4 linked regions of the Xenopus tropicalis genome follow. The protein of the gene in region 2 interacts with the protein of the main gene of each other region in a biochemical or structural test. Links are inferred from orthologs where the notes say so. Each region holds a gene or a part of one and is shown on either strand. Other genes may lie near its edges.

Region 1 (6,555 bases), on a different chromosome or scaffold from region 2:
ATCATATTAGTCACGATAATATCGTATTGGCGATCTGAAAATCACGGAATTTTCATACCAAACCATTGCAAACAGCGGCAGGGCCTTTCCGAATTTTTCACGCGGACACGCAAAAAGTCGCGCAAGCGCGAAAAAACGGCGAGAATACGCTCGGAGCATTTGCATGAACGTTCCAAGCATTCGGGTCTTTGTAAATCTCCCCCATAATGTAGAGGCCCTTAATCTTACTGGACCAACGATGAAAGGTGGTTGGCAGTCCAAGGTCATTATTGGTGCTGAGGATTGCACATGGCTTTCTGCATTATCAGCACCATGGAAATCTTCTAGTTAATTATGCGCATGCATTGGGCTAGAACAACAGATGTGTGCATGTACCAAGCCTCAGAAACTGTTTTTGATAAAGTGATGTCTTTTTGTTTGTCTTAACTTCCCGTTAAAATTAAAAACCTGCTGCATTATTTTAAAGCACCTGTGAGATGGGATAAATCTTATTTTGTGGCTTTCCTTGTCCTTTAATGACATTAGCAGACACAGAATGTATGAATTTGGTGTTATTGGCGCCTTCCATCAGTTTGCTAGGAAGCTTAATTGGTGGTTTGCCACGGTTTTACAGCAAAATTCTGCAGTGCAATTGCACAAAATGTAAATGGTTTACATAAAGGAGAACAAGCTTGTTGCCAACAACAGTGTTAAAAGAAAAAGTGCATTAGTTATATACACCATTGCTTTACAGAAAAGTTGCATGGTTTATTCAGTTAAGAGTCATCTAGGTGACATTTGCATTGAACTTTTTATTCTGCTGGAGCGACCGCTATGCAAGAAGAGTTTGATAAATTGCGCAAAATTCTCTGGCCTCAGTTGCATGCAAAGTCTTTGCTTCAAAGGGCTCTCTTTGCATTTCTGTATAGTTGCACTTTGCACCACTCAGGCCTTCCTGTTCCATACTGAACGCAAATGTAATATTGATGCAGAGGAACCCTGGTGCTGCCATGTACGGACCAGGTGGTAGCTTCAGAGTTCCCTTTAGCACTCTGTGCCGCCTCAGGCATCCATGTTAATGCCGCCCCCTTGCGCTTAGCTTTGTTGCGTCAGTGGGGGGCTGCATTGCTAGTGCGGACAGCCGAAATTCTGATTTAAAAAACAGAAATTCAGCTCCTTAAAGGACAAGGAAAGGCTAAGTCACTTGGGGGTGCCAAAATGTTAGGCACCCCCAAGTGACTTTAATCGCTTACCTTGTACCCCAGGCTGGTGGCCCTGTTAGTAGAAAAGAGCAACGGCCAAGGGTACCTGTAGTGAGCGTTTCCTCCTTCCGGTTTCGTTTTGCAAGTACTACATGACAGGCGCATGCTCAGTAGAGTGAAAAAGCGACTTCTCTGTTAAAGTTCGGCTTTTCACTCTACTGCGCATGCGAAGATGTAAGGAGGAAGCGCTGCATCTACCTCGGGCTGGTGCTGTTCTCTCCGAACAGTGGCACCAGTCAGGGATAAAAGGTAGGCGATTTAAGTAACTTGGGGGTGCCCAACATTTTGGCACCCCCAAGTGACTTTGCCTTTCCTTCTCCTTTAAGTTACCAGGAGTGACTTTTGCTGCCCCTGGTAACTTGCCAGGCTCTGCCGTCTGAGGCGATAGGTGCAGGGGCACAGTTACTGTGAAGCGAGTTTAAAAACTCGCCTCAGGCAGCAGCACCCCCGAAGTTACCAGGGGAGGCAAATAGCCGCTCCTGACAACTTTAGGAGCCAAATTTCTGGTTTTTAAAAGGGAAATTTTGCTGCACTATAGCAGAGATTGCCATGGCACTCTCTACACTAGCGATGTGGCATGCCTGGACCCCCTCCCGTGCTGTAAAGGCATGGTAGGAACCTCCTCAGGTGGCTCAGGGGCAAGAAACACCCCTGGATAGGTGCAGTGCACTTGCATCTAGAGAATAGGTTCCTGACACTCTCATATTAAATGGACAGAATTTTTTTTAGCGCAATTGCATCTAATTTACAGCAAAGTTTGCCTGAAATTGCACTTGGCAGACTGCCCTGCACTTGTAAGCATAAATATTTTCTGTGTAGGTGATGTGACTGCTCAGCTGCCAGTGTATACCTAGAACGTCCAGATGATGAAACGCATACACTGGACAGACAGGGGAGTGCCTTCGTAAAATACACGAAAATGGCGGCCTAGTGAAGTGAAATATGTGTCAATGCCACATATTTCAAGCATTTTTTTTTTTTTTTTATTATTTGCAAACAAAACGACATGTATCAGTCAGACACCTACACGAGGAGCGACAGAGGCGGGCGGAGCCTGGGACCTACCTTTCAACACGTGACTCACTACTATTAAATATATAATTCGGGTTTTCTTTTATCATTAAGACCCTGACTTCATGGGCTCTTCAACTACACCCGTGTAGATTGTACCGGAATTGACATTAACTGCCCTCAAGGCAGGCTGTCCTATTTTGTCAGGGTGCCGCTTCCCTTAGACCCATGGTATTGAAAGAGTTACTGTTCGCGCCAGTAAATTCCCCGCCAGTGTGTTGGTAGGGCCCATTGTTCTGCGCGTCACTCGGGCCCTCCCACTCCTGCGCACATCGGAGCTGCAGGCAGCCGCGGCTTGGAGAGCGTTTCTCGGTGTGAGGGGGACGGAGCAGGAGTCACCGGGTGCTGGTTATCCAAAGAGAGTGAGGTACGGGGATGAGAGAGAGGAATGTTGTACCCGGGGGCATGAGGAGGGAGAGGAGCAGCATGGGAGAAGCACGGCCCGGCAGGGTTGGGGAGGCGGGAAAATTGCTGCTAGTTTGGGAGAGAAGCGGAGGCCTGCTGCAGAGTAGCAGCACAGACCAATGGGTGGGAGGCATTGTGTAAGGGCGGGGAGGCCGTTCTGCAAACATACTGCCTTGTCTTCAATTGCTGCTCACCGCTACCTGGGCTTGTTGGGAGCTGTAGTTCAACGGCAGAAAAAGTCACAACTTTCTATTTCACGTATATATCTTGCCGAATGAAGAGCGGCCCCCTAGCACTTATATGACGCTAGCAGTGTTAGTGGTATTCCGCCAGTATTCCCATGCCCGGTGCAGCGCACAGTAACTCTCACATAGTGCTAGGATGGATACCCCCTGAGTTTCTCTGTATCACTGGGTTTCTTTACAATGAAGCTAATGCTGTTCGGTACGGGGGGTGCGCAGGCGCGAAGGTTCGTGGCCTCTAGGTGGTTAGTAGGGAAAGTAAAGGGTATACAGGGCAATGGCTACCCGGGCTGGACAATCATAGGGAAAGCTCGGTGCCGCTGGTTATAATGGTTTCCAACTGTGCCATGCAGTTTCCCCTGCGACAGTCTAATCTCTAGTTTCCGTGAATGTGTGTTCCTCATCTCCCTCCGGAATACATTCGGTTAATCAATCATGTTGCGGCTCATTCACATGTACGCATGCGTGTTGGAGGGGGTGGGGGATGCTTTTGCTTTCCGGCTTGGGAGGTGAAGCGGCGTAAAACTTTATCTGGATGCACGTTGCGCAGAGCTGCTTTCACGCTAATGTTGTATGGGGGGGCGGGGGGGTTATGGAGTCTCGCACGGCAGTCACAGCAGAAAATTCCTGCCTTTGTTTCTGGTATGGCAGAATTTCGCCTCACGGCAGACCGCTTTCTCATTTCAAGGGACAGTGTATCCCGTGTTTATAGGATTGGCTTAGTGATAAGGGCGTGTGCTGAAAGGAGACTTATCATAACAAATTAAGAATGTACTAGTGAATTATACTTTAAATATAGAAGGATTGTGCTTTAAAATAGTTGTTTCAGACTGATTTATTGAAACATTATACACAGACCCCTCTAGTCCCGCCCATCTGTTCCACTTCCTGCAGGCTGAAATCTCTGGATGTGCAGGGGAACCACTGGCTCTTGGCACACTGCACTGTAGGATAGGAACCTACGCTAGGCGGACCCAATAGGGAACTGAAGTATGTCTTTGCTTGTGAATTCAACTGTTAGGATACTCCCGCCCTTCATTTGAAGCACAGAAGACTGATAGGATCTACATGGAGCTCCAGTAAAGGAGACCTTTTTACAGATAGGATTAATTTTTAGCCCGAAGTGACACCAGCACCATATAGTATTCATAAGTGCCTACAAAATTAGGGGTTTTTCCACTTATCCAATGTCTCATTGAACTTCATTTTTCCCTGTGTTAATTATTTATATTGTTTTATTCTTCTTTGCACTAAACAGGCCAGAATCTTCAGGTAGTCACTTAGAGGTGTTTAGATTAGTCCTTTTTCTGGAGCAATGAATTGCCTTTTGAGTGCTGAACCTGTTCTAATAATCAAATGAAAAACCAGTCTCTTAAGGTTTGGGATAATACCCCATAGTTTCCAGTGAAATTAAATCTCAAGAAAACCTAATTGACAGAGGTTAGGTTTTTATTTTTATCTCTGGAATAAAAATGTGCCAGCCTAGAGCTCTTTAAGTAGCAGTGATACCACAATACTGCACTTTTCCCTGGAATTCCTAGTGTAAACAGACTAGCACAAGCACGGTATACTACCATTGGAAAATTTTTATTAAACTGGACATGTGCAAGTTTGTGCTAGGAATCCTTGGGTAAAGTCTGGCACTTTTTGTGAGAATAGTTGGCCAAAGAAATAATTTTCTAACTTATTGGCACCCTTGTGCTTTAACATTATAACTTACTACATAGCAGGGAGCTAGCACCTAATTGTAAGCATAATACAGTTTGTGTTGGGATAATTTTGATAAGGCTGTGAAAAAGTGGTGCATATTGTCTTTGGAATGGTGCTCACAGTATTAGGGGCTGTTCCTTTACAGAAGAGGAGTGTTTCTATTAGGTTAGGTAGGATCAAGCATAGCAGCTATCAGTGGGCAGTGCTGGCACGGTGTGTACTGTGCTAAGAACTTGTACTGTATGTAATCAGGGAGCAGGAGGCTGGAAATTCTCTCATGTGACCAACAGTCTGAAGTGCCATTTTACACTAATGTTAACAGGAAAGTTTGAAATGGAGAGTACTAATTGCATATACAATTATTGGTTTATATTGATAACTACTGTATTAATAATGCATGTCTTGTAACATATGTTTCTGATATCTAAATGTCTCTTAAAGGGGTAGTGCACCCCAGTGAATAGGGCTTGTGCCAAATGCACTTCTATCTTATTTAAGAAAAACATTCTTGTGATTTCTTGTAGTAAACTGGCACAATCTAAAACAAAGTTGCATTCTACTTCCTGGCTGTATAATTAAGGTCAAAACAGATCTGCGTTCTACTGCTGTTCCTTATCTCTGTCTTACAGGCTGCAGCTGGGCAAGGAATCTTAGTGGGCAACTGATTTGTTTTGACCTTGATTGTAGGGACGGGAACTTTGAATGAAAGGGAACCCAAATGAAAATATCTGCTTTTGTTTTGTGCAAGAAATCTCAATTGTACCAACTAATTGCCCTGCATGTCTTTGCCCTTAAGTTACTTATTCTGCCACAGGCTAGCTGCAGTGAGTCAGACCAGATATAGTCTGTCTGGCTTTAGGCCACAAGGAATTTATTCAACTTAGTGTATGCCTTTTATAGAAAGGCTGCAACTGCAATGGGACCTATATGTAATTCATTAAGCATGCATTTTGTGCATGTTTATCTTAAAGGGGCTGTTTACTTTCCAAACACACTCGAGCTTAGTTTTTTTCTGGTGTACTATGTGAAAACGCTTGAACTGAAATCTGTTTGGAAGGCAAACAGCTTCTTTTTAAAATTGTTTTAGTTATAAACTGATGTGTGGTTAAAAATTTCTACATGCTGTCAGGACCTGATAATGGCTAGACCTTAAAGATGCATTGCATGCTAAAATATGTAACTTTGCTGTTGATGTAGCAGATGTGAGTGTTAACCACCATTTGTACTTGTGAACATTCATTTGTAGAAACTGTTTTTGATTTATAGGTTTGTTTATTTTTGCTGGGCTAATAATCCTAGCAGCCAGGCAGTATTTTGGAAGTCAGAAGTAAAGATGAAGAGTGGAGGACTTCCACAATTAGAAATTAACATGGTAACAATCTGATTTCTAGCTTCTATTTCTAGTATATTATATAGCATATGTGAAGGACTTATGTTGTAAGACAGGCAGTATTGTTTTGAGGGGGGGGGGAGCATCCCTCTCTTTGAGGGCATAAACAATATTACGTGTGCACTTTAGTTTGACATACATACATTATTGTCAAGCAATTATCTGGTTTCACCTTTTAAATAAGTTCTTAAGTGTCCCTTAACTTTAGTGCTCTAATGCTTTCTATGTTAAAGGGAAAATATACCTTATTCTTGACATGTAGAATAAGTAGTATCTGAACTTTCAAATTGTAATAAAATAATATATTTATATTTACAGACATCACCTTTCATTAGGAGGTGATTAATTCTGCAAATTGAAGTCCCTCTGCTTTCCGTAGCGGGTGGTGCACATTCTCTGGGAAGCTGTGGGATTTTCGCAGAATCACTTCACAATGGAACAAAGATGGGTATATTTGCCCTTTAAGCCATTGGTCGAACTATTAAGATGTACTAAA
Region 2 (5,824 bases):
CAACAGAGAGAAGAGAAAAAAAAATGCTTTACCACCCTCTTGGTGATCCATGTCTAGCTTGCTTACCTCTCCATCCACACTTTCGGTTGCCATACACATATTATTGGCCTGCTCACACACTCTGTCTACACTTGGAGCCTCCATGCGGCAGCTGCAAAGGGGAAGCTCTTCATACCGTTCTGTATCCATGGAACTGGTTTCATTACACACACCTGAGATAGAGAGATTTCAGTTTGCATAAATTTAAACACGTGGCATGTGGAAAGAAAATAATGGCACTAAAGGGACACTATCACCTTTTTTTTTTTTAACACATTTCTTGATTTATATATTTAAACCCAAGAAAGAACATAAATATTAATGTATTAACAGAGATGACTCTCCTAGAAACAAATATCATTGTTGAGAAACTTCCTGAAAACAATGAATCTGTTCTTTCAGCATTTTTATCTAAGAAAGCAAAAATACCTTGGAAAAGATAGCATCTAACATTGGGCATTTTTTCTGCCAGTGGGAGTACCCTAAACTGACCGTTAATCACTGTTATGCAAACCACTTGCAAGTATCAGTGTTGATGGTTCTTGGGCTGAGAACATGCATTAGGGCCTTTTCAGGCTAAGAACCGCTGGTACTGAAGCTTGCAGGCAATTCTGGTAAGTTTTGTGGGTTTCTATTTCTTATTCAGAACAACGGGGTTTTATATGTATACATTACAATGTTAAATGTAGGTTAAAACTTACATTACATAAGTAAAAACGTGATAGTATCCCTTTGAAGAAAAAGTTAGCAATCACAGAAAGGCCAAAGAGAAAATTATTCAGTTATGGTTGAAAGACTGCATGAAAAAGGGTAAAGGGGCACAGAATATCAGATGTGGGATGTAGCACTGCCATGCAGGAGTGTGTGCAAGGTGGCTGTAAGATGACAGTGCTTAGATTACTAGCCATAGCTTGTTAACAGGCAAATTAAGTTACCTGCATGGTTGGGAGACAGTGTCCCCTCGCTGGGTAGATCCAGGGCTCCCAGAGGCACCTCTGTGTACTCACTGTTTGATACCCCCACGGAACTGACAGCTACAAGAGCGGGGTAACAAGAGGGGTGGTGGATCTGTGACTACCACAAGAGCACTCACCACCTATCTTGTGTTTCCTCCCACCACTTTTTCCCTCCTTCCAACTTACCCCCCCTTAACATCACCTGCCTTGAGCGTACCTGTTACTGGTTTCTCTCTCTCTCTACGTTTCCTTTTCCTTGTCGGCTTCAGCCAGGCTTTGTCCATTTTCCACTTCTTCTTAGTCTTTTTCTTCATGCTGCTTGAGCTCTGGTTAAGGAAGAGCTTTTTTAAGTAAACCCAATTTTTCTCACTTATGCTCATTATCTGTAGGATGTAGCCTATAGCCCTCACATTAAAGAATATCTAATTACCCGTTCAGATTGGTTGCCAGATCCTTCCTCCTCTTCATCCTCCTCCTCCTATAGACAATAAAAATAATGGTAGAAATGGTATTCACTTAACTTGGTATTCACAAAAGTTAAAAAATCTAAACAAAATTCGAAGTGTTCCTCACCTTGCTGTCACTGTCTCCTTGCTCCTCCAGGGAAAAACTATCGTAGAAGAGACTAAACTCTGCCCCCACTTCTGGCTCCCATTCTTCAGCATCTACTCCTTCTGGGTCCCTAGAAGAACCAGGCTCAGGGGAAAGGAGCAAGGAGGAGACCTTTGGATGTTAGAGGGATAGGGGAATAAGTACAATCCATTATTCAGTGATTGTCCTTTACCTACAACAATCTTCGTGCCTACAAACAACATTTACTTACCTCTACTTCTCTGGACTGGTTGGCTGATATATCTGCCACCAATGAAGAGCTAGATCTTTTCTGTGTAGAGTCTGGGCAGAGAGATATTAAAAGCATTAGAACCAAAAAAAAAAGGTAATTATTCTTAACACCCCTTGAAGTGCATACCTGGGCTGTCTCTCGTCTCCATCTCACTCTCTCTTCGGACACTCTGTTTTTCTCCATCAGATACAAGCACTCCATTTCCAGGCACCTGCAAAAATATTAATTAAAGAAATGTATATGACTTTTCATTCATAATAAAGTTGTGTAGTCACAAGGGTAAAAAAGTGGGTCAGCATCATCTAAAGGAGCTAAACCTCAGCCTGTAAAGTCCTTCTGGTTGTAGACAAGGTGTTAGGTATGTTGCAGATGATGCAAAAAAATGTTAATTGGCCTTATGGACCCTGAAGTCCTAGCAGCTGTGTTTTTCAGCATATAGTGTAATTCCACAGCTGGCCTCTTAATCCCAATACTGCAGTAGTTATCCTGCCAGTTCCAGTCACTACTTTTCAGGCCCCATCAGCTAATTTATTTCATTCAAATGAATGAGACAAGATTCATTTCCTATCTGCTGCAGCCACCACTTTCTACCTTTTCACCAGAATAAATCTTTGGGGTTTTTAAGCTGCCATTCTGTATAAACACTTAAAGGGAGTTTTTCACTCATTCATTGAAATGCAATATAAAGTTCCACATCTGCATCTGTTTAAGCTCTCTGCATATGTCCCTATAACATTGTAAAGCTAATCCTTTTTTTTTTTACTCTCAAGCATGTGCACAAACATACATTTACTGCTCGAGGGATGGTTTTCCTAGCACGATGCACCTTGTCTGCTCCATCCCTGGTGATATTCAGGAGTCTCATTGCCAAGCTCTGTGCAGCGTGGGGGAGCTTGCCAGTTCCTGTTAAAGACATCTTGGCTCTGCTGGAAATAGGTGAGGAAGAAGTTGAAGGAGGTGTTGGCAGAGACTTTGAGGCATGGCCTGGAAAAGAAGGGAGAGAACTAAGTATTGTCAGAATGATTCAACAAAGGATCAAATTGTCATTAAAGAAAACACGTGCAAAGTATGCTGGAACATTACATAGTACTGGTTGCCTGTGAAAGCACACTTCCTATTAATGCGGTACCTCATTTTTAGCTCTAGGTAGCTTCTATGATTTGCCTTATCATCTGTTACTTTCTTACTTCAATGATTCAGCTTCAGCTTCCCTATTATTTTTTTAGCCCTTAATAGCCATAGAACCACACTTACCAGAAAGTCCCCTCCCAACCGGGGAGATGTTTACACTTTCCTTCTCAGTTTCTTCTTTCTCCTCTACTGTGGGAATCACATCAGCTGGACTAATTTCCCTGGTGTTACTTAACTCTTCAGCATTGTCATCGCCTATCAAAGATAAGAGATTCTGTCAAAAAAAGAATTTAGCATCTGCATTGTGTGTACAAACTTTATCATAAAGTGGTTAAATAAAATCTGTATAGTTCTTCTTGTGTATAAAATCTACAAAAAGGTTGAATATGAGTTAATGTGTATTTTAACAAAAGAAATTATTATTGTTAACTTTAGACAAACTGATGTAACATGGTATAATTCATATTCTCTACTCAATTAAATCTTAATAGACAAAGGTTATGTGATATCGTTACCCAGATCAATGTCACCTTGTATGTATGTATGTATAACTTTATTTATAAAGCGCCACAAGGGTACGCAGCGCTGCACAGTCTTACAGAATACAAAATTACAGTGCCATGTGGTATGAGACACAGTAGGAAGGAGGTCCCTGCCCCGTAGAGCTTACAATCTGAGTGGTTGGGTAACATACAGGCACAAACTGGAAGGTAAGAGTGCATCAGGTATGGGCATTTGCCCTAAAGCGCAGGACTGGGCAAAATAATGTTTTAGTGCTCCAGAAGGTAACAGCTGAGTTTTTTCTTAAAGAGAGTGGGTGAGTTTTCCCTACGGAGGGATTCAGGGATAGAGTTCCAGAGGTAAGGAGCAGCGAGATAGAAAGGTTTAAGATGAGAGAGCGCAGTGGGTGTGGATGGTGTAAAGAGACGAATGCTCTGAGAGGAGTGGAGGAGACGACCAGGAACATGTAGGGAGACCAGTGAAGAAATGTAGTGAGGAGCAGAGGAGTGAAGGGCTTTGAATGTTAGCAGAAGGATTTTGTAAGCTATCCTTTGCTTGACAGGCAGCCATGCTAGTGAGCTTAATTAAGGCTGAGCAGGATCCCTCTTAGGGAGAGAGCAGGAGGATCCTGGCAGCAGAGTTTAAGATTGATTGCAGGGGAGAGAGGTGGGAGTCTGGGAGGCCGGTTAGTAGGAGATTGCAGTAATCTAAGCGGGAAAGGATAAGGGCATAGATTAGTGTTTTAGCTGTTGCTTGTGAAAGAAAGGGGCGTATCTTGGCAATATTGCGGAGGAAAAAGCGGCAGGTTTTGGCAGTGTTATTAATATGGTTAGAGAAGGAGAGAGACTGGTCAAAGATAACCCCAAGGCAGCGTGCAGAATTTACAGGGTTGATGGTCATGCCATCAATAGTAATGGTGAAAGGAGGAGGAGGAGGGCCAGGTTTGGGCGGGAAGACCATGAGCTCTGTTTTAGCTAGGTTAAGTTTGAGCTGGCGTCGGTTCATCCAGGAGGAGATAGCCAGGAGGCAGTTACCAATCTGGGTTTGGACATCAGCAGTTAGTGCAGGGGTGTCTAAATATATCTGGATGTCATCTGCATATAGGTGGTATTTAAGACCAAAAGAAGAAATAAGGTCTCCTAGAGAGAGAGTGTACAGGGAGAACAGCAGGGGACCAAGCACAGAGCCCTGAGGCACCCCCACACTAAGCGGAACCGGGGTAGAGGAGTTGTTAGTAAGAGCGACAGAGAAGGAGCGGTTAGAGAGATAGGAAGAGAACCAGGATGCAGCTTGATCCCGGATACCCAGAGAATGGAGAATTTGCATAAAAATAGAATGGTCGACAGTATCAAAAGCAGAGGAAAGGTCTAGGAGAATGAGAACCGAGTAGCGTCCTTTGGCCTTGGCAGTCTGGAGATCATTTGCCACTCTACATAAGGCCGTCTCAGTGGAGTGCGCAGGCCGAAAACCAGACTGCATAGGGTCCAGCAGATTATGGGTGCAGAGGAAGTTAGTTACACTAGAAAAGACAAGACGTTCCAGGAGTTTAGAGGCTAGGGGCAGGAGAGAGACGGGACGGTAGTTAGAAAGGCAGGACGGGTCCAGTGTAGCCTTTTTAAGAATGGGTTTGACACATGCTTGTTTGAAGAGAGAGGGAAAAGTACCAGAAGCCAGAGAGGAATTGAATATGTGGGTAAGAGCTGGAGTAAGGGCAGGGGGGCACTGTTTTAGCAGGGACGAGGGCATAGGATCCAGCGAGCAGGTAGTAGGCGGAGAGGATCAGAGAAGCTGAGAAACTTCAGACTCTGTTACGAGACTGAAGGAGCTGAATACGGAGAGAGGAGATTTAGGAAGGTTGAGATTACCGGTGTCCGAGGGTTGGGAAAATTGATTGCGGATAGAATCGACTTTGCTTTTAAAGAAGTCAGCAAAGTCCTGGGGGGTGTGTTCAGATATGATTGATTCATTAGGTGAGGGATGAAGTAGCGCGTTAAATATGGAGAATAAGCGCCGCGGGTTTGATTTATTATTATTTATAAGTGTGTTATAGTATGCTTGCTTGGCCTGGGATAGGGCAGTATTGAGGCACACCATAAGAAATTTATAATGGAGGAAGTCAGCTTTAACACGTGATTTCCTCCAAATGCGCTCAGCAGATCGTGCACAGGAGCGCAGAAATCGTGTCTGAGGGTTAAGCCAGGGACGGGGATTGCGGGCACGACTGCGTTGGGGCTGCAGGGGGGCATGGGTGTTAATTGCAGATGATAAAATTGAATTGTAGGTATTTACCAGTAACTCAGGATCAGAGGAAGCACAGGAGGAGGAGAGGCTAGAACTAAGAGAGTTAGAGAGA
Region 3 (6,564 bases), on a different chromosome or scaffold from region 2:
CTTTGGGGGTTCTGACTTTTGAAGCAATAAAAAAAACACAAGGCAGCAGCCTTGCTGACCTTTGCCGACAATAGCTTTTTGGCTGCTGGGGTCAGTGACCCCCCCCATTGGAAAGCTGGAAAGAGGCAAATAATTCAAACACTGCTAAAAATGAAGACCAACAGAAAAGTTGCTACAAATATGACAATTGTACTAAAAAAAAACATGAAACATATTTTTACTGTCGAACGTATGATTTTCTCTGTGGCAGCTCCTGGCAGTGGGCAAATTTAACTCTATAAGTGCCAGGCTAAAGCCCCTTATCTATAACCCCTGCAGCCTTAGTGGTAATTACAGGGTTCAGTAATTGGTTCTGCTGAAGATACACTACTATGGGTCAGACCAATTGGCCTCTGAATTGCTCAGGTTCCCCCAGTCACATGTGTAATACTGGGTACCCCTGTGCAGGGAGCCCTCCATACACCCATCATAGAGGCATCCGTATGTAATACACATGTATAATATTGAGTCAGATGCTGAGCTGGTAACATATCTACACCCAATCAGAACCCCAGATCCTCTTTAACAGTACACTGTATGGCTGTGCTGCAAACATTGGCTGCCTGAGATAAGAAAGGTGGCAAAAGGCCCATTTGAATTCCACTCAGAACCTCTGATAAACACAGCAACTGAAGAACCAACCAGCAGCCACAGTATATAGATATCAGTTGGGATCAATAACGGGGAGCAAAAAAGTACAATGAGCAGACGCTGGTTAAAATCCCTCATATTCAGCTGTAAAAAAAAGTTATTAACCCATGAGTAAAGCCTTAGGCGTTTTGGGCTTCCCTCACACTCAATGGCAGGCTGAGTCACTTTTTAAGGCGAAATAAAAAACAAAAAAAATTAGCCAATCGGTGGATACAAGATTTCCTTGGGGGGGGGGGGGGGAGGAGTCTCAGTTTAACTTTTGATGTAAGTTGTCATAATGAACACTAATATTTGTGTTTACTTCCCCTTTTGTTTTTTTCCTGATCGGTTGGATATCAGGTTTCCAGATAAGAGACCCCATACCTGTAATATTTTACAGTAATACAGACGCGGCGTGCAGGTTTATGAACGCTCCCCTTACCGGTTCAATGTGCATTAGCAGCGCATAAGGACAAGAAACCATGGAGCAGCACTTACTCAGAGAAACCTTTCCATTTCAGGAGATACTCCACTTTCCCTTTCACCACCCGTCGGTCCAGGACCTTCTCCACCACGTACTCCTCCTCCTCCTCGTCGACAACCTCTTCCATCTTTTTCTTGTTCTGCTTCTTTCCCATGGAGGTCGCCAGTTTATCTGCTTAATGGAGCTGCATGGGAAGAAAGAGGAGAACTTGGTGACTTATAATATCCTTATGCTTTACATAAGGGGGTACATAATTCCCTATATGTGTATGTAGTTTGCATTACTGTGTGGGGTTACATGTTTGAATCCAGCCAGGGCACACATCCGCATGAAATATGTATGTTCTCCTTATATCTGCGTGGCTCTCCCACACTCCAAAACCATACAGGCAGGTTATTCGGCTTCTAATAAAAGCGACCCTAGTGCGTGTACCTTAGATTGTAAGCTCTACTGTCAGGGACTGATGGTAGTGATGAACCCCCAACACCCAGTCATAATTTTCAGCTGCCGGCAGGAAATAACAAAACCGAAATATACAAAATAAATAATAAAGGTCAAGCGAAAAGTTGTTCATAGGTCTATCTACAACACACTAAGAGTTCATGCAAACATCCCCTTTAATGGCCTGAGCCGATGTGTGAGAGATACGACACAGCTGCAGATGTCACAGACTGTCTCGGATTCACATAACTGATCCCTATTGCAGCGCCGAGACAGCGCAGATTAGACTGCAAGCTCTGGGAGACCCATAAAGGAGACGGTATAATGTAGCCTGGGACTACAGACAAGATTTTACTGAAGGCTCCGGCTTGACTCCTACAGCCCTGCTGTCCAGGCGGAGGGTCCCCAGGGCCAGATGTTTCCCTCCATGGGATTGTTATGGCCTCAGGATCTATTACAGCAGTGGTCCCCAACCTTTTTTGCACCACGGACCGGTTTCAAGCAAGACAATTTTTCCAAGGACCGGGGATGGGGGGGTGTGGCGCAACTAGTGCATACTATGCACGTTATTATTATTATTATTATTATTATTATTGCATACAGCTTAATAAAGTACTTTGGTCCTTGTCGTGATCAGTAGAAATCTTCCTGGGCTCCGCATAGCTATTGTCATGGCTGTGTAACGCATCAGGGAGTTGGGATCACGGGTAATTGGGACCAGAGGTGGCCCGGTTCAGCACAGCCCATGGACCGGTGGTTGGGGACCCCTGTATTACAGGGCTCCACAGACTATTCATTCAAAATAATCCAGACCCTAAACGTGCAATACATTTGGTAGCCATGCAGACACAGTGCACAGAATGAATAGGAGTAGCCTTGAGTGAAGCTGTGCCACGTGCCAGGCTGCCTGGCTTAGAGCTAACACTCCCCCCCCAGCCTGGCATTGCCCCCCCCCGCCTGGCTCTGTTACACACATGCTATATGCATTTCACCTCAGGAACTTGCTCCTTTGCCCCCATTCTGCAGCCTCTTCTATTTCTGCACTTTGCTACTGAGTGAGCGACTCCCCACACAATGTACAAAGCTAATTATGGCTCCCAAAGAATGAAAGCTCTGCAGCCAAATAATACCAGCTGTGTGGGAGTGTTTGCCCCTCACATTCCCCTGGCCGGAGGTTACATCACGTTGGCTACTGCAGCCCTGCGAGTGTGGGGCCCCACAGCCAACATTCCCTCTGCTTTTCTATGGGCCAGACGTGCAGAATTCAGGTTTTGTGGCCTGAGGTGCAATGTGCGCACACAGGGCCTTGGGTGCATCTGGGGGATAATATGCCAACCTTACCCCCTGGGGATAGGAGCCACCATGTGACTGGGCACTATGCATAAAGTTTGGGAAGAACATTGTACCAAGAGTGGGCCACTGACTACAACTCCCAGCATCCCCCACAAAACCCTGGGAAACAAAGCTACATCCATAGTGCAAACATGGACTTGTGAAATCCCTGTAACAAGTTATACCCTGTGCTGGGAATGCTGGGAAGTGTAGTTTTCAGAGCAGTTGGAATGCTACAGGTTGATGGAGGCAAATCACTAGTGAATTAAGTTGCAAGAACTTGTTTGTGTGCGAATAACAGAACGTTGCTGGCTGCATGTTACGCACTACAAATCCCAGCATGCTCAGCGGCCCGTTTCCCAGAGGAATGGGAGGGGGCAGTCCGGCAGTAGGGAGAGAAGGCGCACATGCGGGGATCAGGCCGCCCTTACCCGCCGCTTGCTTGGGCTCCCCGGTGCCTGGGGCCTGGGATCGGTCCGGCTGCGCGGCTGGAGCTCGCTTTCTTCTCGGCTATTGGAGCGGGTTCCGATCCCCTGAATGAACAGAACAAATTGATTCCTGTGCGTCCCGATCCGGTTCGGTTCTAAGGATGTGGCGCCTCCAAACAAAAGAAGCAGCGCTGCCGCCAAGGGATCGGGGGAGTGCGCATGCGCGGGGGGAGAGCCGCCTAGCATGGCGGGAAGTGTAGTTCTTTCCCTGGGAGCCATGTACGGGCCGAGTGGGCAGTGTTTAATGAGCTTATCTGTTGCTGGCTGTGTGGGGCCATGATAGTGGCTAGTAGGCGTGAAGGCTGCTGGCTGTGTGGGGCCATGTTAGTGGCTAGTAGGCGTGAAGGCTGCTGGCTGTGTGGGGCCATGTTAGTGGCTAGTAGGCGTGAAGGCTGCTGGCTGTGTGGGGCCATGTTAGTGGCTAGTAGGCGTGAAGGCTGCTGCCTGGTCCGGCACAGATTTAGCCCCTCAGTGTGGAGCCCGGGAATCACTTCACTGTTTTTATAGTCGCTGCACAGTTAAAGCTGGAATGGGAAGGGGTCGGTAGGTATGGCACTGGGGTGAGAGACTGGGGGGGTGGGCAGGTATGGCACTGGGGTGAGAGACTGGGGGGGTGGGCAGGTATGGCACTGGGGTGAGAGACTGGGGGGGTGGGCAGGTATGGCACTGGGGTGAGAGACTGGGGGGGTGGGCAGGTATGGCACTGGGGTGAGAGACTGGGGGGGTGGGTAGGTATGGCACTGGGGTGAGAGACTGGGGGGGTGGGCAGGTATGGCACTGGGGTGAGAGACTGGGGGGGTGGGCAGGTATGGCACTGGAGTGTGAGACTGGGGGGTGGGTAGGTATGGCACTGGAGTGTGAGACTGGGGGGGGTGGGTAGGTATGGCACTGGGGGTGAGAGACTGGGGGGGTGGGTAGGTATGGCACTGGGGTGAGAGACTGGGGGGGGTGGGTAGGTATGGCACTGGAGTGTGAGACTGGGGGGTGGGTAGGTATGGCACTGGAGTGTGAGACTGGGGGGTGGGTAGGTATGGCACTGGGGTGAGAGACTGGGGGGGGGGTAGGTATGGTACTGGGGTGAGAGACTGGGGGGGGTGGGTAGGTATGGCACTGGAGTGTGAGACTGGGGGGTGGGTAGGTATGGCACTGGAGTGTGAGACTGGGGGGTGGGCAGGTATGGCACTGGGGTGAGAGACTGGGGGGGGGGGTAGGTATGGTACTGGGGTGAGAGACTGGGGGGGTGGGCAGGTATGGCACTGGAGTGTGAGACTGGGGGGTGGGTAGGTATGGCACTGGAGTGTGAGACTGGGGGGGGTGGGTAGGTATGGCACTGGGGTGAGAGACTGGGGGGGTGGGTAGGTATGGCACTGGGGTGAGAGACTGGGGGGGGTGGGTAGGTATGGCACTGGAGTGTGAGACTGGGGGGTGGGTAGATATGGCACTGGGGTGAGAGACTGGGGGGGGGGGTAGGTATGGTACTGGGGTGAGAGACTGGGGGGGGTGGGTAGGTATGGCACTGGAGTGTGAGACTGGGGGGTGGGTAGGTATGGCACTGGAGTGTGAGACTGGGGGGTGGGCAGGTATGGCACTGGGGTGAGAGACTGGGGGGGGGGGTAGGTATGGTACTGGGGTGAGAGACTGGGGGGGTGGGCAGGTATGGCACTGGAGTGTGAGACTGGGGGGTGGGTAGGTATGGCACTGGGAGTGTGAGACTGGGGGGGTGGGTAGGTATGGCACTGGGGTGAGAGACTGGGGGGGGTGGGTAGGTATGGCACTGGGGTGAGAGACTGGGGGGGGTGGGTAGGTATGGCACTGGAGTGTGAGACTGGGGGGTGGGTAGGTATGGCACTGGAGTGTGAGACTGGGGGGTGGGTAGGTATGGCACTGGGGTGAGAGACTGGGGGGGGGGGTAGGTATGGTACTGGGGTGAGAGACTGGGGGGGTGGGTAGGTATGGCACTGGAGTGTGAGACTGGGGGGTGGGTAGGTATGGCACTGGAGTGTGAGACTGGGGGGGGTGGGTAGGTATGGCACTGGGTGAGAGACTGGGGGGGTGGGTAGGTATGGCACTGGGGTGAGAGACTGGGGGGGGTGGGTAGGTATGGCACTGGAGTGTGAGACTGGGGGGTGGGTAGGTATGGCACTGGAGTGTGAGACTGGGGGTGGGTAGGTATGGCACTGGGGTGAGAGACTGGGGGGGGGGTAGGTATGGTACTGGGGTGAGAGACTGGGGGGGTGGGTAGGTATGGCACTGGAGTGTGAGACTGGGGGGTGGGGTAGGTATGGCACTGGAGTGTGAGACTGGGGGGTGGGCAGGTATGGCACTGGGGTGAGAGACTGGGGGGGGGGGGGTAGGTATGGTACTGGGGTGAGAGACTGGGGGGGTGGGCAGGTATGGCACTGGAGTGTGAGACTGGGGGGTGGGTAGGTATGGCACTGGAGTGTGAGACTGGGGGGGTGGGTAGGTATGGCACTGGGGTGAGAGACTGGGGGGGTGGGTAGGTATGGCACTGGGGTGAGAGACTGGGGGGGGTGGGGTAGGTATGGCACTGGAGTGTGAGACTGGGGGTGGGTAGATATGGCACTGGGGTGAGAGACTGGGGGGGGGGGTAGGTATGGTACTGGGGTGAGAGACTGGGGGGGGTGGGTAGGTATGGCACTGGAGTGTGAGACTGGGGGGTGGGTAGGTATGGCACTGGAGTGTGAGACTGGGGGGTGGGCAGGTATGGCACTGGGGTGAGAGACTGGGGGGGGGGGTAGGTATGGTACTGGGGTGAGAGACTGGGGGGGTGGGCAGGTATGGCACTGGAGTGTGAGACTGGGGGGTGGGTAGGTATGGCACTGGAGTGTGAGACTGGGGGGGGTGGGTAGGTATGGCACTGGGGTGAGAGACTGGGGGGGTGGGTAGGTATGGCACTGGGGTGAGAGACTGGGGGGGGTGGGTAGGTATGGCACTGGAGTGTGAGACTGGGGGGTGGGTAGGTATGGCACTGGAGTGTGAGACTGGGGGGTGGGTAGGTATGGCACTGGGGTGAGAGACTGGGGGGGGGGGTAGGTATGGTACTGGGGTGAGAGACTGGGGGGGGTGGGTAGGTATGGCACTGGAGTGTGAGACTGGGGGGTGGGTAGGTATGGCACTGGAGTGTGAGAC
Region 4 (5,824 bases), on a different chromosome or scaffold from region 2:
AGGCAACAACCTATTAACCCCTGTAAAAACTATAATACTATAGTTTACTGTTGGAATAATAAAATACACAATGTAAACAAAGTGGATCAACAAAAAGGCACAGGTGGAAAAATGACTCCACCCAAACCTGAAACGCAACACACTGTTCTTTAATAGGTCCCAAAGTGCACTGCAGGTAATTAAGGTAGGGAATTCGGTCTTGTTCTTAAGAAACCTGACTGCATCTCAACTACACCCAGGGGAACATAAAACGAGTGGAACCTTAAAACTAAAAAGGACAATTTGAGACAGACTCATACCTGTAGCCTGGGCAACTGCTTTCATCAATATAGTTTCTCCTATGCCGAGCTCCAGTCCTTCATAGGCAGGTCCCAAGCGGTTCAGACAAAGATAGATGCAAGGCAAGAGGTCCCCAGGAGTGAGAGCAATGACGGAGCGCAGAAAATTACTGAGAGTCTCTATGTTCTTAAGTCTGAAGCACAGAATGATATTTAAAAGAGAACTTTTAATATTTTTCATTTATTTTGGAAAAAACGGGTCATATGGGTCATAGTAAGTGAAATTACCACAAGCCATTTATCAGTAGGCACTATAGAACTTAGAATTAAAAAATTAAATAGAAGTCTCTCCTCTAAAAGCAATAATACCATCTACTGACCAAAACAATTACTACAACTGCTAATAATGCTAAAATGACTGTGACTTGAATGCCCAAGAAGAAGAAACCAATGGGAAGTTTTCCAAGTAGTAAATAATAAGACACTACTGATGCTAGGATAGTCCCCACATGAGCATGAAAAATTTAAAATATTCTGGGGTGTAAATGCAATGCTAAAGACAGCATCATCTACTTCTGCTGCATGGCATCTATAAAGCGCTATTAAAGGTCATTTTAGAGATGTCCTCTTCTTGGTTGCAAATATATGCTAAACACGATAGTCTACATTATGGACAAGATGCTGTATTAATAGTGTCCATGTTTCGGCATTATTGTTGTTACCTGTTCTTTCCACTCTGAATTTTATAAATTGTTAAAGGGAGCACCTACCAACTGTAGAGAGACAAAGTAAAGTGCAGAGTGTGTACAGGATCAAAGTCAATATAGAAAATTACACTAATGGGAAAAACCCAAGCAATCCACAGCTTCCACCACTCACTTTTGCCAGATCAGATTAAAATACCGTATGTCAAAAGAAAAAAAAAGGGAAAAAGATTAAAATTCTAGGGTAGAGGCAGGATCATTGGTAGTCATATTCCTATACCAATAATGTCTTGAGGGTAGTTCATGGGGGGAATTTTAATAATAGTGACTATGGCGTTCAGGACACCTTCGATATCAGCTACCACATATTGCAACTGATAAATAGAGCTGGGCACAATAAGAATCCTATCTGTTCTGATGCTATACCTGCTATTTCAACAATCAATTAGGCACTCTGAGACATCCAGCCTACAGCCATCCCTTCTATCAAAAATCCACCCCCTATACCTCCCATCAACAACGATGAAGTTCACGACAGCTAAAAGTGGCTGACGCGCATTTTGCTCGGTCAGCTCAAGCTTTGTCAAAGGCTGACCGAGTGAAACGTGTGTCAGGCGCTTTTAGCTGGGGGTAGACAGGCAGGGTGTTAGGTGGGTGGTAGCCGATACTAAAGGTGTCCTGAACGCCACAGTCAACATACAAAGTTTTATTTAGTCACATATCTGATCTGGCAGAAGTGAGTGCAAGCTGTGGATCGCTTGGGTTTTTCCCACTAGTGTAATTTTCATAGAAAAGGCATATCACCTGTATTAATAATAAACTAATTACCGTGCAGATTCCTCTTCTATCCTCTCAAAGGTTCGTGCAACAGCAAGGTATGGCACCCTAGGACAAAAGAAATAAAACACAGCATTAAGATCCAAAGAACACAAAGATTGCCAAAAGCCATGTCTTTTTAACATTGCTGAGGGGAAGGTATTTCTTTTAGCATGTCACACTAAACCAAAAACTGCATTAAGAGGTTATCACTATCACTTTCAACTTCTAAAAGAACCCAAAAGTATTAAAGTAAAAATCCATACAATTTACTTTTGCAGAATAGTTCTTATAAGCAGAAAATATGCCCATAGAAATATATATAATGTATATAACTATAACAAAGAGATGTGCTGGTCATTATGGATCAATCCCCCTTGGTCTATACAATTTTGCCCAATACAATACTATATACATCTCAGCCTCCCTCACCATAAATATAAAGCAGCATTGTGCTTGCCTTGAAACAACAAGGTGATTGGTGGTGAGGAGGACATGGTTGATAATTTTGGCCATCTCTGGTGTAAAAAAATAAATAAATAAAAGTAACAATAATAATAAAATTGTAGCATTACAGAGCAAGTTTTTGGTTTTGAAAGCTGGAAAGAGGCAGAACAGAAAGGAAAATAATTTTAAACTATAAAACACAAATAAAACCAATTGCAAAGTTGCTAGAAATTGGGCATTCTATAACCTACAAAGAGTTAAATAAAAGGTGAACCACCCCTTTAAGGATTGATTAGAAAGACAAAAGCAGTTTCTTGGATTTCCAATGAACACTAAATATGGGACAGCAACGAATAATAAAGTGTCAAAGGCTGCAGATAGGTCTAGCAGAACTGACATAGTATTGGCTTCTGGATATAGCAGTGTGCCAATAGTTTGCTATTTTAGAAAGGGATGGGTGAGGGCAAAAACCAGATTGCAGTGGGTCTAGTAGAGAATAAGATTATAGAGATATAATGTGACTGTGTATGTGCTGTACATGCAGAAATTTTGAAGAGACAGGAAGGTGACAGACTGGCCAATAGTTAAAGAGAATTGTAGGTGGGAGATCGTACTGAAGTTGCCAGAGCAGAAATGTGAATAAGAATGGTAGAAGGAAACGCTTTTTTTATGGGTTAAAAAAAGGTGCTGTTCCAAACCCTGTCCACCCCTGACTGACAGTATTTAAAATCGCTATACTGTAATTTGCTATGTTGCATCCCCAGACTGATGAATTAAATGAATCTAAGAACAGGACATGAATTCACACCTAGTGCCTGTTATATGATAATGGTTTGGCCTCAGATATACCCAAGATGCAGTTAAGCTAGGGGTATGATAAGGTTTGTAACAGATCAAAGCAAAGCATGAACTTAGTGGGCAAAATCAGTTATGGCAACAGTACAGAAATTTATTAAAAAAACAATATAATCAGTATAACCATGAGTTAATGGTTGCTAGGGAAGAAGTTAAATCAATTTCAAGGGCAGAGGCTTTCAAGAGAAAAAGTCGGTTGATAAATCTCAAAGAATTTCCTGTTACCTCCTATGATACTAATTCTAGAGCGTGTAGGAACATTATTTTGAAGCATTGGTGAATTTTAAGAACAGACCCCAAATTTGGTCACCTCTTTAAATTAGCACAGTCAACTATATGCAATTATCATCCTCCACCCCCCAAAACTGAAAAAGGCAAAGATACAGAGAAAAACAAAAAAGAAACTTTATTGGCAAAACATGTTTTTACTCATGGACATAGTCTCTCAAGTAAGATGGCAGATACTTGAACAAGTTGTTACTAAACAGGGGTACAACTAAAAGACAATATTGCTTCAGAGCGAATTCTACTGGTTTTGATTTGGTTATTACAATCCCGACATCCTAAAGGCCTAAATGAGGACTAACTGAGGCCTAAATGAGGACTAACATGGCCTGTTTCTTATAATTTTTCTTTCAGATAAACAGTCTGCCTGAATATACGACAGGGACAGGTACTAGCTTCCCCCTGCAGATAAGTATGTTCTGGGATCTAATTTAGTTATAAGAATCCCATCAGAGAACAAGAACATTAAAAAGCAACAGCTACAAAACTTACTTCTGTCCATTAGACCAGCAAGCATCATTTATGGGGTGATAACTACTCTTGGATGGGTTATACACTGCCTGGTCTTCTGATGGTTCTGGCTTTATTGCTCCAAAGAAACTGAAATGGAAATAAAAAGGTCAGTAAGTTTTTGTGTACTAGAAAGATGTTTTCAAATGTTGAGGCATTTTAGAAATAAAAGTAATTAAAAAGTAAATAATTTAAGATTAACAAATCTGCCCTGTAACTATTGACAGTTACCTTTGAATTGCATGGCATGTCTTTCCTCTATTTTTCACAAATTATACCAGTTATTTGGAGGCCATACCTGCTAACTGTCTTTTTAGGTTTGGGGGATGCTTCCAAAGAGGTCTCACTTGCATTCTTTTCATTCATAATTTCCTCTTTTTTTTCTGTCTTTATTGCAGGTTTCTTTGGGGCTGTAGGTGAAAAAAATAATAAAACAAAACACATTTAGCCGTTACAAAGGTAATTAAGGCATGGGATCCAAAATCCAGAAATTCGTTATTCAGAGAGCTCCAGTTGAAAGGAAGGCCAATTCCCACAGACTCCATTTTAATTAAAAAAAATCTAATTTTCTCTGCTCTCTAATAATGAAACAGTAACTTGTACCGGATCCCAACTAAAATATAATTAATCTTCATTGCAGGCAAACCAGTCCTATTGTGTTTAATTAATGTTTAAAAGATTAGACTTCATGGAGACCCAAATTACAAAAAGACCACTCATCCAGAAAACACCAGGTCTCAAGCATTCTGGATAACTGGTCCCAAACCAGTTCCTGACAAAAAGTTTATTGTTCTTTATAAAATTAAATTTAATTTGTACTTTTAGATTTTTGCTTCTGGTTTTTTAACATGCACAAAGATTTCCCCAGTCAGAATGATGCATGGTTTTGGTTTAACTGCATTATAAGCTGCTTGGAACAATGCATCAGCAGGCAAAGACACCAAACTCTGTCAGTGATGTCTGCAGATAACCTTCACCCCACCCTTTATTTAAAGGTATTGTGTACATAAGGAATATTAGGGATGTCCAACAATCTTATAAAACGTTTAGCTTTTACAGTTTTAAGACCATGGCTCACAGTGGAATAAAGTACTCACCAAAGAAGCTGCTTATTTGTTTCACGGGTTTAGCAGGATCTGCTTTCTTCTCGGGCTCCTCATCACTTTTTTCCTCGCTACTTTTTCCTTCACTGTCATCTTTTGAAGATACCTTATCGCTAAATTTCACTTTCTTTTGCAATGGACTGTGTTTCTTTCCTGACTTTGCCTTTGGCGTTTTTGGCTTGGAATTAGGACTGGTAGATTTAGGCTGCAGTTCTTTATCTTTAGGCTCAGATTGTTCTCTTCCTGAAACATCATCCTTTTGGTCTAAAAGTTCCACATTCTGATCATCCACTTTGGATTTTTCTTCTTGAACCACTTCAGCATTTGCCTCTTTCTTTATGGAGCATTCCTCTTCCATGGAGATATTGTGACCTGTCTCCATGGGTTCTTCTTGTTGAACATTTCCCTCTGTTTAAATACAAAGACTATCAACTTAAATTCTGTATATCAATTATTGGCTTATGTAAAAGCTGTGATTCTGCACAAGGTTCTCACTCACAATAGGTTTTAATAAATAGTAGACATTACCACATGATGGCTATACTAGATAGATTTGCACAGGAAAAGCAGCTTATGCCATTTCATGTCAACCTAGTCATACGAATAAATACAACTTTATAAATCTGGTATGGTACATTTTGTAAACATTCAGAAAGCCCAAAAATATGGTAATGCCATTTCCCATAGTGTTCTCTTAAAAAAATTCTTTATTTATGCCTGAATCACTTTTTTTCTAATAATACAGTAATCTGTACTTAATGTTAACGAAGACAGCATAAATCCTAATGACAGCCAAGTATGACAATGAACTTAAGAAAATACTATG

What was found.
Region 1: the proteins of ehmt2 (region 2) and cbx3 are reported together in a solved structure, tested with the Homo sapiens proteins (2 studies listed by BioGRID, with this or other methods). The link is inferred for Xenopus tropicalis from reciprocal best matches to the Homo sapiens genes EHMT2 and CBX3.
Region 3: the proteins of ehmt2 (region 2) and cbx1 form a complex in vitro, tested with the Homo sapiens proteins (2 studies listed by BioGRID). The link is inferred for Xenopus tropicalis from reciprocal best matches to the Homo sapiens genes EHMT2 and CBX1.
Region 4: of the proteins of ehmt2 (region 2) and lig1, one has a biochemical effect on the other in vitro, tested with the Homo sapiens proteins (3 studies listed by BioGRID). The link is inferred for Xenopus tropicalis from reciprocal best matches to the Homo sapiens genes EHMT2 and LIG1.

What each region holds. Positions count from the first base shown.
Region 1 is NC_030682.2:41,662,130-41,668,684, forward strand, and holds the start of cbx3 (chromobox protein homolog 3), read left to right. Parts: upstream 1-2,633; 5' UTR 2,634-2,679; intron 2,680-3,527; exon of another isoform or gene 3,528-3,551; coding exon of another isoform or gene 3,552-3,601; intron 3,602-5,935; coding exon of another isoform or gene 5,936-6,041; intron 6,042-6,477; exon of another isoform or gene 6,478-6,492; coding exon of another isoform or gene 6,493-6,507; intron 6,508-6,555.
Region 2 is NC_030684.2:73,983,857-73,989,680, forward strand, and holds part of ehmt2 (histone-lysine N-methyltransferase EHMT2), read right to left. Parts: intron 3,226-5,824; coding exon 3,094-3,225; intron 2,824-3,093; coding exon 2,627-2,823; intron 2,051-2,626; coding exon 1,966-2,050; intron 1,890-1,965; coding exon 1,819-1,889; intron 1,719-1,818; coding exon 1,569-1,718; intron 1,474-1,568; coding exon 1,426-1,473; intron 1,322-1,425; coding exon 1,213-1,321; intron 1,074-1,212; coding exon 975-1,073; intron 213-974; coding exon 67-212; intron 1-66. UniProt on the Homo sapiens protein: Histone methyltransferase that specifically mono- and dimethylates 'Lys-9' of histone H3 (H3K9me1 and H3K9me2, respectively) in euchromatin.
Region 3 is NC_030686.2:11,721,250-11,727,813, forward strand, and holds the start of cbx1 (chromobox protein homolog 1), read right to left. Parts: upstream 3,480-6,564; 5' UTR 3,358-3,479; intron 1,338-3,357; 5' UTR 1,308-1,337; coding exon 1,168-1,307; intron 1-1,167. UniProt on the Homo sapiens protein: Component of heterochromatin. Recognizes and binds histone H3 tails methylated at 'Lys-9', leading to epigenetic repression. Interaction with lamin B receptor (LBR) can contribute to the association of the heterochromatin with the inner nuclear membrane.
Region 4 is NC_030683.2:103,533,522-103,539,345, reverse strand, and holds part of lig1 (DNA ligase 1), read right to left. Parts: intron 5,407-5,824; coding exon 4,993-5,406; intron 4,306-4,992; coding exon 4,194-4,305; intron 3,986-4,193; coding exon 3,878-3,985; intron 1,868-3,877; coding exon 1,811-1,867; intron 473-1,810; coding exon 300-472; intron 1-299.